Caenorhabditis elegans: one gene and its partner. The protein of the gene in region 1 purifies or fractionates together with the protein of each later gene. This does not show direct contact. Each region holds a gene or a part of one and is shown in the gene's direction. Other genes may lie near its edges. The genes, in order: ceh-32 and gmn-1.

What was found.
Region 2: the proteins of ceh-32 (region 1) and gmn-1 purify together in Caenorhabditis elegans (affinity purification with western blotting, with the first as the bait; one study listed by BioGRID). This does not show direct contact.

The regions. Positions count from the first base shown.
Region 1 is NC_003283.11:11,701,238-11,707,313, reverse strand, and holds ceh-32 (Homeobox protein ceh-32), read left to right. Parts: upstream 1-1,913; 5' UTR 1,914-1,940; coding exon 1,941-2,156; intron 2,157-2,412; exon of another isoform or gene 2,413-2,549; intron 2,550-2,669; coding exon 2,670-2,762; intron 2,763-2,812; coding exon 2,813-2,988; intron 2,989-3,891; coding exon 3,892-4,149; intron 4,150-4,458; coding exon 4,459-5,035; 3' UTR 5,036-5,550; downstream 5,551-6,076. UniProt on the Caenorhabditis elegans protein: Transcription factor which binds a motif with the core sequence 5'-GTATCA-3'. Plays a role in head morphogenesis. Involved in embryonic development. Required for cell specification of the RIA interneurons.
Region 2 is NC_003281.10:12,223,272-12,227,499, reverse strand, and holds gmn-1 (Geminin homolog), read left to right. Parts: upstream 1-2,168; coding exon 2,169-2,414; intron 2,415-2,570; coding exon 2,571-2,867; 3' UTR 2,868-3,612; downstream 3,613-4,228. Other genes in the region: Y75B8A.19 (RING-type E3 ubiquitin transferase), read right to left, coding at 1-201, 787-832; Y75B8A.18 (Clathrin light chain), read left to right, coding at 1,307-1,381, 1,431-1,580, 1,637-1,786; gphr-1 (Golgi pH regulator), read right to left, coding at 3,666-3,869. UniProt on the Caenorhabditis elegans protein: Inhibits DNA replication by binding to the DNA replication licensing factor cdt-1. Its interaction with cdt-1 prevents the cdt-1 loading of the mini-chromosome maintenance (MCM) complex onto DNA and therefore DNA replication licencing.

The DNA.
Region 1 (6,076 bases):
ATGGATTACGGTAGTGCTCGCTAGTGCTCTCACTCTCTATTCGTTCGTAGAGAAGCCGCGAGAAGCAAACACCCAAGAGACACCACTCGGTAACATACCAACCCGACACTCTGGTTAGATATGTGTATCGATTTGATTGCGATGTGTAACGAAGATATATGATTGAAGAAGGGAGACCGAATACAACGATCTTCCGCATGATTCCTAATCCTGGTATCATGGGCGCGCGCTAAAAGGCTTAACGAAGACGGTCAAGGTTTGGATGACGGTGTTGTCTTCATGACTTTCTATTGATATATCATAATGTATCTTGTATTACATTCCAATAAAAAGTTTAATTATTTGTATCTTCATAGTTTTTTAACTGATTGGTATAAGTGGAAATCCTGAGTGAAATATATTAACCTATAAATTTCCGTGAGGGTTCTGATCCATGATTTCTAAAACTAAAGATGCACTCTAAATATTTGTGCTCATTGAAACTTGGTAGATATAACAGACTTGAACTGTTATTGGCCTTTCATTTAACTTGAAGCCATGAAATGTTCCACCTGTGCTAAATTTGGTACATGAATATAAGCAACATAGTTGACTGTAAAACATTATTTATTATTCATTTAATGCATTATTTCTGGGCTTCAAATTCTAAAATATATAAAGTCTCTAACCCCCTTAATAGTTTTCATCATAGTCTTTTGACTCTTCTCCAATTGCTACACTAATCAATTAATCACTCAAGCGAGCTGTCATTGCCACTTATAGGGTCCGAAATTGACTGAAAACAACTAATGGCAATGGGTCGGCGTGTGAGGAGCGATGGTAAACGAAGAAGTGGCGGGCGAGATAGAAGAAACACTAAATAAATGCCATTAGCGAAAAAAGAGAGACCACTTTCAAATCATCCATCGAGATGGGGCCTGGCGCCTCGAGACAGAGAAGGAAAAGGAGTACTTGTTTTTTTTCGTTCATCAATGCCATACAAAGAAGTACGGTAGAAGTAGTATTTAGGAAAAAGGAGACGATGAGTTGAAGAACACGTGGCCATAGAAAGGGGGAGAAGATTTGGCTGAAAGTGACAATGTCAGTAAGGAAGGTGCGAATGGGGGGAGGCATGCGTTATAACCTCCGGTTAAGAAAATATGAAGACAAAAGGGAATCGATATGGTTCGTACATATATTCGTTTGACAGAATTTTCTAAAATTGAGATATGTGTCATAACAATTTTAGAATTTGCACCTGAAACATCTTGCACACTAAATGAAGAACGAGTTCGTGTGTTCGAAACATACGGTTATTCTAGGATCTTAAAAATAACCTCTAAATCATGATGATCTGGATATTGATCTAGATAACTCTTTGACTTAAAATCTAGGACACAATATATCCTCCTCACTACACAAAACCACCAAAATAAGTGAGAAACTACCACTGTTAACAAAAACTTTCGATTTCCAGAAGACCTCACTTTCTAATTGTACAAATATATTCATTGCGGAGACTTTTCGTCCCCCGACTGATCTCCACCAACATCATCGACAACTTCATCTATTCTCTGTCCCCCACTGATTAGTTTCGCAGTTAAACAAAAGCTTCCTAATGATACTCACTTACCCAACCACACTACCCAAGGGACAAGCACGCCCCAGCAGTATCGTCTCCCGTTACCCGCATCTTCCTTTCCGATGTGGGCGTGGTTTCAGTGGATGGGGGGTTAGCCACCAACCAACCCGCGCGTCCTTCATGACTCCGCCCCCGTATCATTAGAAAGATTCGTTGCGACCGACAAGCGCATACATACATTCAACCACACCGATACATTCTTACTCAACTCCTCAAATTTTGATCCGATCCTATCTTTTTGATTTCTACTTTCAACTCACAATCTAAAACTTTTAATTGTTTTCAATTTCAGTCTGATCCCCATTCATCCTTTGCGAACATGTTCACTCCAGAACAGTTCACAAAAGTGATGTCCCAACTGGGTAACTTTTCCCAGTTGGGACAAATGTTCCAACCCGGGAACGTTGCAATGCTTCAAGCACTTCAAGCCAATGGAGCATCCTCCACTCCATCACTGTTCCCTGCAATGCCTTCAGTTATTCCATCGTTAGCTGCTCCATCATCACCGACTACCTCGAACTTGACTGCTGACCAGGTTAGTATTATTAGTATTGTTTGATTAGTTGTAAGAAATTATCATGCATAGTGCCATCATCATGGCGCTAGCGTCAAATAAATGTGTCATTAGGGGTACTGATGAGCCATCAAAGAAGAATACCGCAATAGGGTTCACTTAAAAACGAATGTTGTAGAATGAAAAAAGAAATAGAAAAGAAGATAAGTGATGTTGAGCATAAAACATAAGATGTGTTGAAAAAGAAAGAAAAACGGAAAATTTGATCAAATTTGAAACGTATCTTTTCCTCTTCTCCCTTTCTTCTTACTTCCGTTCTTCTCTTACTTTCAATCCAATCATGCTCCTTGTCTTCTCATAATTTTATTGCTTTTTGTCTCCTCTTTTCTCGCCTTCTGCAACACAAAGTGCAAACCTAAATTCCATTTAGTTTTCTTACACAAAATGATTGAAAAGTAAATGTTTTATGATGAAAAGTATGAGCCATCATTCATCTGATCATCCATCTCTTTTGTTTAAATATCAATTTTTTAGATTGTGAAGACATGTGAGCAACTTGAAACTGATGGAGATGTCGATGGACTTTTCCGATTCATGTGCACAATCCCTCCACAAAAAACTCAAGAGGTAAAACTCTCTGATGATCGGAACTTTTAAAATCATCTGAAAATTTATAGGTTGCTGGAAATGAAGCCTTTCTTAGAGCCCGAGCCCTCGTCTGCTTCCATGCAAGTCACTTCCGCGAGCTCTACGCCATTTTGGAAAACAACAAATTCTCTCCAAAATACCATCCGAAGCTTCAGGAAATGTGGCATGAAGCTCACTACCGTGAACAGGAGAAGAATCGTGGAAAGTGAGTGAAAAGTTTTTTTTCCCAAAAGGTACTCATCTCATTGTCTTTGAAAGCTATCATTAGTGTTAGAGTCTACGGTAGGATAGTAGCATCACGGCGCTATTGTATGTGAGTGTGAGAGAAGAAGAAAGGAGCCGGCTCCTTTTGCTTTCAATCTTGTCGGACAATATTTGCTTTGAAGCAAGACGCCAAGGGTCTTTCTCGCTTTTCTTCAACACACTGTTACACTGATAGGACTGATAGATAGACAGATACTTTTGTCAAGAGCATTGGAGAATAAAAACTAGAACAGTAGGAAATGTTTGAAAAGGAAAATCTTCAAAGAATTAGAACTGATAGATTTGACTATATATTCCAAAATATAAGTTAAAACCTTTAAAAAAATTGTTTTCTTTATACGGATATCCCGATCCTTTCGTTTTCTGTCTTCAAGTATCGAAAGATTCATGACCAAAATTCCTGATCTGAATACCTTCACCATTAATTTTATTCGTTTCAAAGTATTCCATCTCTTCAAAATTAGCTACATTTTGTCCTCATGTAGAAACGGTAAATGCGTGCTAATCGTCCACCGGGTCGCCCCCTGAACAAACCCGGCATTTACAAATTTGACACCTTCAAGAAAGAAGGGATAGGAGATGGCTTTTAGAGCCTTCTCGCATGCCGTATGTCGTCTTGTCGACGCAAAAAGATGCGCCCTCTAATTAGCTGATTGGCGTTGATTTTTGTGTTCACATACTACCGGCTTTAGAGCTGAAGAGCTAGTGTTCATGTACCATATGTGCGGCATACACAGTACTGTTAATCGGATAATTTGTTTGACTCCTCTTCCGACAAGGCAAGACGTGTTTTAAAACATTCAGAGGATTATCTCCTATTGTATTGAATCCTCAAAATTTTCAGATCTCTTTGTGCAGTCGACAAATATCGTGTTCGCAAGAAGTACCCAATGCCAAGAACAATCTGGGATGGAGAGCAAAAGACACATTGCTTCAAGGAGAGAACAAGATCACTTTTGAGAGAATGGTATCTCAAGGATCCATATCCAAATCCACCAAAAAAGAAGGAACTCGCAAATGCAACAGGTCTCACACAGATGCAAGTTGGAAATTGGTTTAAAAACAGGAGGCAACGAGATCGGGCAGCAGCTGCAAAAAATAAGTGAGTTGGATCGAAATTGATTTCTGCCGTTGTTTGAGTCAATCTCTCACTTTTGTGGCTTTAAATAATATGAGACTGCGGCACTGCCTTCCCTGTTGATTTTCAATTTTTGAGAATTCATAATAGTAGTTGTTGTAGTAATGGTAGAAGTTTGAAGACAATTAAAAACGGATCAGGAAGTGTCTTCTTCTCAATTTCCTTTTTCTCGACCTTATGATCCGAATGTAATCTGTCTCTTCTCTTCCATAATCTCGAAATAGGAGAATAATTACCCCCTATGCATTTCAGTTTTATTTTCTTCTTTTTCAGGCAAAACATCATCGGAGTGGAATTGAAGAAAACATCGTCCGACATGTCAGATTCAGATGATGATTTTGAGGATTCAATGACTGATTCTCCAAGCCCAATTGATGAACCGAAAGATCTCAGCAAAAGTCATATTCCAAAGCTCTCACCAACACTCTTACCTAAAATGGCGACTCCATTCGATATGTTCGCAGCTGCAGCAAATCCATTGATGATGTTGAACTTGAATCCAGCTCTCTACATGCAATTCCACAACTTTTTCAACACAATGAGGAACCCACAAATTGACGAAGAAGAAAATAGCGAGACAACGGTTGAAGTTGAAGCTGATATTGAGCCACCGAAGAAACGATCAAAATTGAGTATTGATGAGATTTTGAATATCAAATCAGAAGTGTCCCCTTCACAATGCTCACCCTGCTCCAATGAATCACTTTCTCCAAAGCGAGCGGTAAAGACAGAAGAAGTGAAAAAAGAGGATGATGAGGCTGCTGAAGAAGATTCTCGAAGTGTGAAGAGTGAAACATCAGAAGATCCAAAACATTCATCACCAAAGTCAACGACATCTCAATCTGAGTAACTCTTCCTAGAAAATTGTAATTATTTTTGTAGTTATATATACACTTTTTGAAACTTTTTATTATTATTTTCCTCGCATGGAACGTTTTCCAATTTTTCTTGATTCCGGAAAACAATCAAATCTCAGTTCAGAAACGTTCATGTCAAAGAACAAACTCACAAACGTTCCCATCTTTTCAGTCCAATGTTCGTCTCAAATCCGGTACCATATTTTCATACTTAGTTGTACTTTTTTGAGCTTTTCCTTCTTCACTTCCTCCCGCATTTGCCACTCACTTTGAACCTCAAATTCTGATTTCTTCTATTCTTTTTTGTCCACAATCTTCAGATGATTGCTACACCGCTTTGATGCATTCCCTCTAAAAATAGCTTTAGCGGCGTTTGAGCATTCATCTGCTAGACCCTTCTTACCCAAATGTATTATTTTTTTTTCATTCATTCGTTCAAATATTTAAGAAATAATTATCTATGATCATTATTTCCAAAAACTCAGATCTAATAAATAGTATTCAATATATAATATCTGGATTTTTTGACTACTGTATCTGTGAATTAATAAACACAAAAGAACATTCCGAAGTAATGCGAATCTGCAAAATACCAAATACTTTGTATTATATAGTTTCTTTCTAGGAAAAAGTGATTGACCCAAAATATAAATATGTTCGTCGTCGATCTTTAAAACATTTTTTGTTGGGCTGAACAAGTACTAGAATGAATATATTTAGATGTTACTGTGTATCCTTTACTGGGTTCATAGTAATTATGATACTGTATGTCTATTACGTAATAAGGTGGTAGCAGTGGTTGAATAGTACTCGAAGCAATCTCATGATAGTATCCTCTTGTATTGGGTGTCAACTCAGCTCATAGTTCTGGTTTTGTGTGTACCTGCACTCATGTCTCCTTACAAGTGTTTGCGATGCACAGTTCATTGGTCTCTGGTAATTTAGAGCCTGAACACAAGTTTTTGGTATCAATTTCAGTATATTCTACCGTAGTCATTTCCACGTCATAACCTCATCGCATCATGAGTTATTCG
Region 2 (4,228 bases), on another chromosome or scaffold:
TAAACGTATTCGGCAGGAAAAGTGTCACCTGAGGGGACAGTCGAGGCCCTGTTTGGCGGATCAAGTTCTCCAAAACTATTCGATATTTGGGATGAAGATTTGACCATTTTTCTTCCTTTGGATCAAAATATTTGTCATCTAGATATCGATTGACAGCAGCGATATGCCGAGAAGTGAATCGAAGTTTTTTGCGGGGATTTTCTGGAATTTTGGGGATTTTTTTGCGCAAAAATTACTGTACCAGGTCTCGCCACGACAAATTTTTGTTTTATGGAAAAGGTATGCGCCTTTAAAGGTTACTGTAATTTAATACGGGGTTCAGGCCTTCCTCATTGAATTTTTCGCGTGGAAAAGTGTCGTGTACTCCTCACGGACTATAATCGAGCCGCGATGCGACACGCAACGCGCCGTAAATCTACCCCAGATATGGCCTGGCCTAGTTCGGCAAAAAACTCTTCCATTTCAATTTATGGAGGGAAGCCAGAAATCCGATTTTTTTTAAAGTTTGTTTAAATAAAAAATTTTTAATTTAAATTTACTTGAAATTGAAAAAAATCGAAAATCCCGCAGCAACGAAAGTTTAAAACTACAGTACTCCTTAAAGGCGCACACCTTGTTCAATTTAACTAAAAATTGTCGTGTCGAGACCGGGCACCGTAGTTTTGGCGCAAAAATCACGAAATTGTATTACTTTCAATCTTTTTCGACAAATTTTGTGTAAAAAAGAGAAAATTTTTGGAAAATCGAGATATTTTTCAAATTTCTTAAGAAAAAAAAATTACAAACCAGGCATCACTTCGAGTAGGCCGTCAAATTGGTGTTGCAACACCATTTTGAACAATCCTGTTCCGCTCATAGAATATTAGTTCTGTAAATCTTAAAATTAACTACATTTGTGAATGAAAAATACGATTTTTTTAACGATTTTGGGGTTGGTTGGGGGAGGAAGTTGGCATTAAAATGGAAAAAAAGTGAATTTTATATACTATTCTAGTAAAATAAAGTTATGGTGTATCGATCGATTTTTTAAAGAGCAATTTAAAATACAAAATATACGATATATTGTAAAAATGTTGTAATTAATCATTTATTGGTCAGATTTCATTCAGAAACTAACAATAATTTCTTATATTATTCGAAAATCTCTATAATATTGCATGTAATTGCATTTCAACGGAGCCGTGACGTCACGCGGCGCACTCGCGCTCCACCGCACTTCACCAATGGCGGGTGTTTCGAATCTAACACCTGTCTCTCAACACCATTTTCACCAATTTCTAGCCAGTTTTTATCGATTTTTCTCGAGATGAGTGATTTTGTAGTGCTCGGGGAGCCAACAACCAACAATTTATCCCCAGAAGTCGGATGTCAGACTGAAGAGGTAAGTTTTTTTCAAAAAAAAAAAAAAAATTGAAAAATATTTATTTTAGATTGCTGTAGAAAATATGACAACACAGACAGCAGAGGAATCGATTACAAAATATCGAAAAAACACGGAAAATCCAGAAATGTCGTATTGGGAGTCAATTGTTGCAAATCGACAGAATGAAGTGGATCGAATTAAAGCGTTGAATGAGAAGGTTTTATTTTTTTCCAACGCGATATATTAATATACAGTTATCGATTGATTTTGCAGATGGAAGTGGAGAAAAGTCGAAAATCGGAGATGCTCGACGCGAAACAGACTGAATACACGCGACTCTTCGATTTGGGAAACGAAAAATTGAAAAAATCAAGTGAAAACGGCGATTCCGAAGAAGAACCCGACACGAGCACCTGTAAATAATTCGGATTAATCCGGATTCTTCTAATTTTGCTATAAAAATACTTATTTTTCTGTATAAAATGCATTTTTGCTCCTTGTCGATGTCTTTTTTTCATTTAATTTCTCTGTTTTTATCATCAGAGCTGGTTATTTCTTCTTTTTTTTGTATTTTTTCATTTAATTTCTCCAAATTGCACCGAAAAATCGATTTTTGGGGTACGGTAAATTTAAAGGCGCAGGGTTCGAAATTTAATTTCTCGTGCTTCGTGGCGAGACCCTACGGGCCTAGGGGCCCGCGTAAATCTATTTTTTTGAATTTTGAACTCAAATTTTCACCATTTTTCGCCGCAATTTCAATTTTTTCTGCTTATTTTTGTGTAATTTTCAACAAAAAAAATTTCAGATGAGCAGAATCGGCCTTCAACAGCTCAACAACTCGGCACGCAACAGTCCATTTGGCTCCGAGAAGGCCACCGGCACCAAGCAAATTCCAGAACCGCTGAAGCTCACCGCCCAACTCAAGAAATATCAGCCAATCACACCGTCCCCGCTGGCTTCTGCCACCACAATCACACCGGTTTTATCTCCATTCGACGTGTTCTGTGATGATGATCAAGAGGCAAAAAACGTGGAGACGCAGATGTTTGAGGTATGAAATGATGATTAAAAAGATTTATCGGCATAAATATATCTACAATGCTTTGTATATTATCGCTAATTCATCAGAACACGAGAAAGCAGCTGGTATAATAGATATTTATTAAAACTTTGAAATTTTATTTTAAAAAAATCAAAAAAATTGCAGTACGGCACAGTGTCCACGCAAACGATCATCAACGTCCCACACGTTCAACCAAAAATCACAGAAGCCGATCTAACATCTGAAAAACCAACTGTAAACTATCTTCGCGTGATGGCTGACCGTCTGCAAATGGATCTGGACGATGAAATGGACAGAAATCAGCGTCTCGTCGCCGAACTCGGAGATCTCGACGAAAAAATGCGAAAAATCGACGATGACACGGAGATTCTTCTCGAAGTGCTCGCCGACATTGACGAGGAGCAACAGACGGATGAGGAGATTGGCACCGCGCAACTTTAAATTACTATCCACGCTCTCCTCAAAGCCGAATAATTATTAGAGCGCGCTTGCTACGATTCGCGTTTCTGTGCCCGCGGTGTTTTGCCTTTTCATTGAAAATAGCAGATTTATCGAATTTTTAGCTTAAAATTTTTTTTCGGCTTTTTACGAACCAACCTTTTGTTAAACAGTGAAAATCGAATTTAAAATGACTAAAATGAACTTTTTTCGTTCACTGGCTGTAAAATGGTTTGAATTTGACGACATCAACGGGATTTTTCTTATTTTCTAAATATTTTTCAATTAAAAATCGGTTTTAATGCACTTGTAACCTAACGTTAGAGTCAAAAATAGTTTAAAACCGAATTCTAATCGAAAAATATTCAGAAAATACGAAAAATCCCGCTGATGTCTTCAAATTCAAACCATTTCACAACCAGTGGACGAAAAAAGTTCATTTTAGTCATTTTAAATTTGATTTTCACCGTTTAACAAAAGGTTGGTTCGTAAAAAGCCGAAAAAAAATTTTAAGCTAAAAATTCGATAAATCTGCTATTTTCAGTGGAAAAGCAAAACTCAGCCGACGCTGAAACGCGAAGCGTAGCAAGCGCGCTCGAATAATTATTCGGCTTCGAGGGGAGCGTGCTACCTCGTGTTTATATATATCTTGTGTATTTACTTCATTCCTTTTACGAGTTTTACCAAATTTCAACGCAATTCAATTTTAAAATGTTTTTTTATCAAATGAATTTCAAATTCTATGCGACCCGAAGTTTAAAATAATTTAAATACCAGCAACAAAACCACAAAAACAAATAATTATGCCCTAAACATTGAAGAACCGGATTTGTGAATAAGTGTCAAGAAAACAATAGAAGAGACGGCGGATATTAGGAAAATCACGTCGAACCAGCGATGGTAGAAGTTGAATTTCAAATCGCCGAGAATTCTCGTCAGAATCGTTCGATACTCCTCGGGCACGTTCATACGCATTAATAGGACGCTCGAAACGAAGTACATTCCCTGAAAAATTCAATTTTTTATTGAAAAATCGAAAATTTAATTGAAAAATTGGTGAAAAAACTGTTAAAATGCTCTTGAATGACTCCAAATTTTCCCCTGATTCCGAATATCTATGTGAAAAAATTCGAACAAATTTCCCTGATTTTATATTTCACCTTGAAATCGCGCCCGAATCATTTTTTTCAAATGCGCGCTCACAGATATTCTCATTGGAGCGCGCTTGCTTCGTGACGATTTACGGGAGCTTTCCGTTTTTTAAAATTTATTTCGTGCGTGTTTCCTTAATTTTTGTCGATTTTTTGTAGGTTTTTTTTCTGAAAATTTTTTTTGTGTCAATTTAACATTTATTGAGCTCAGAA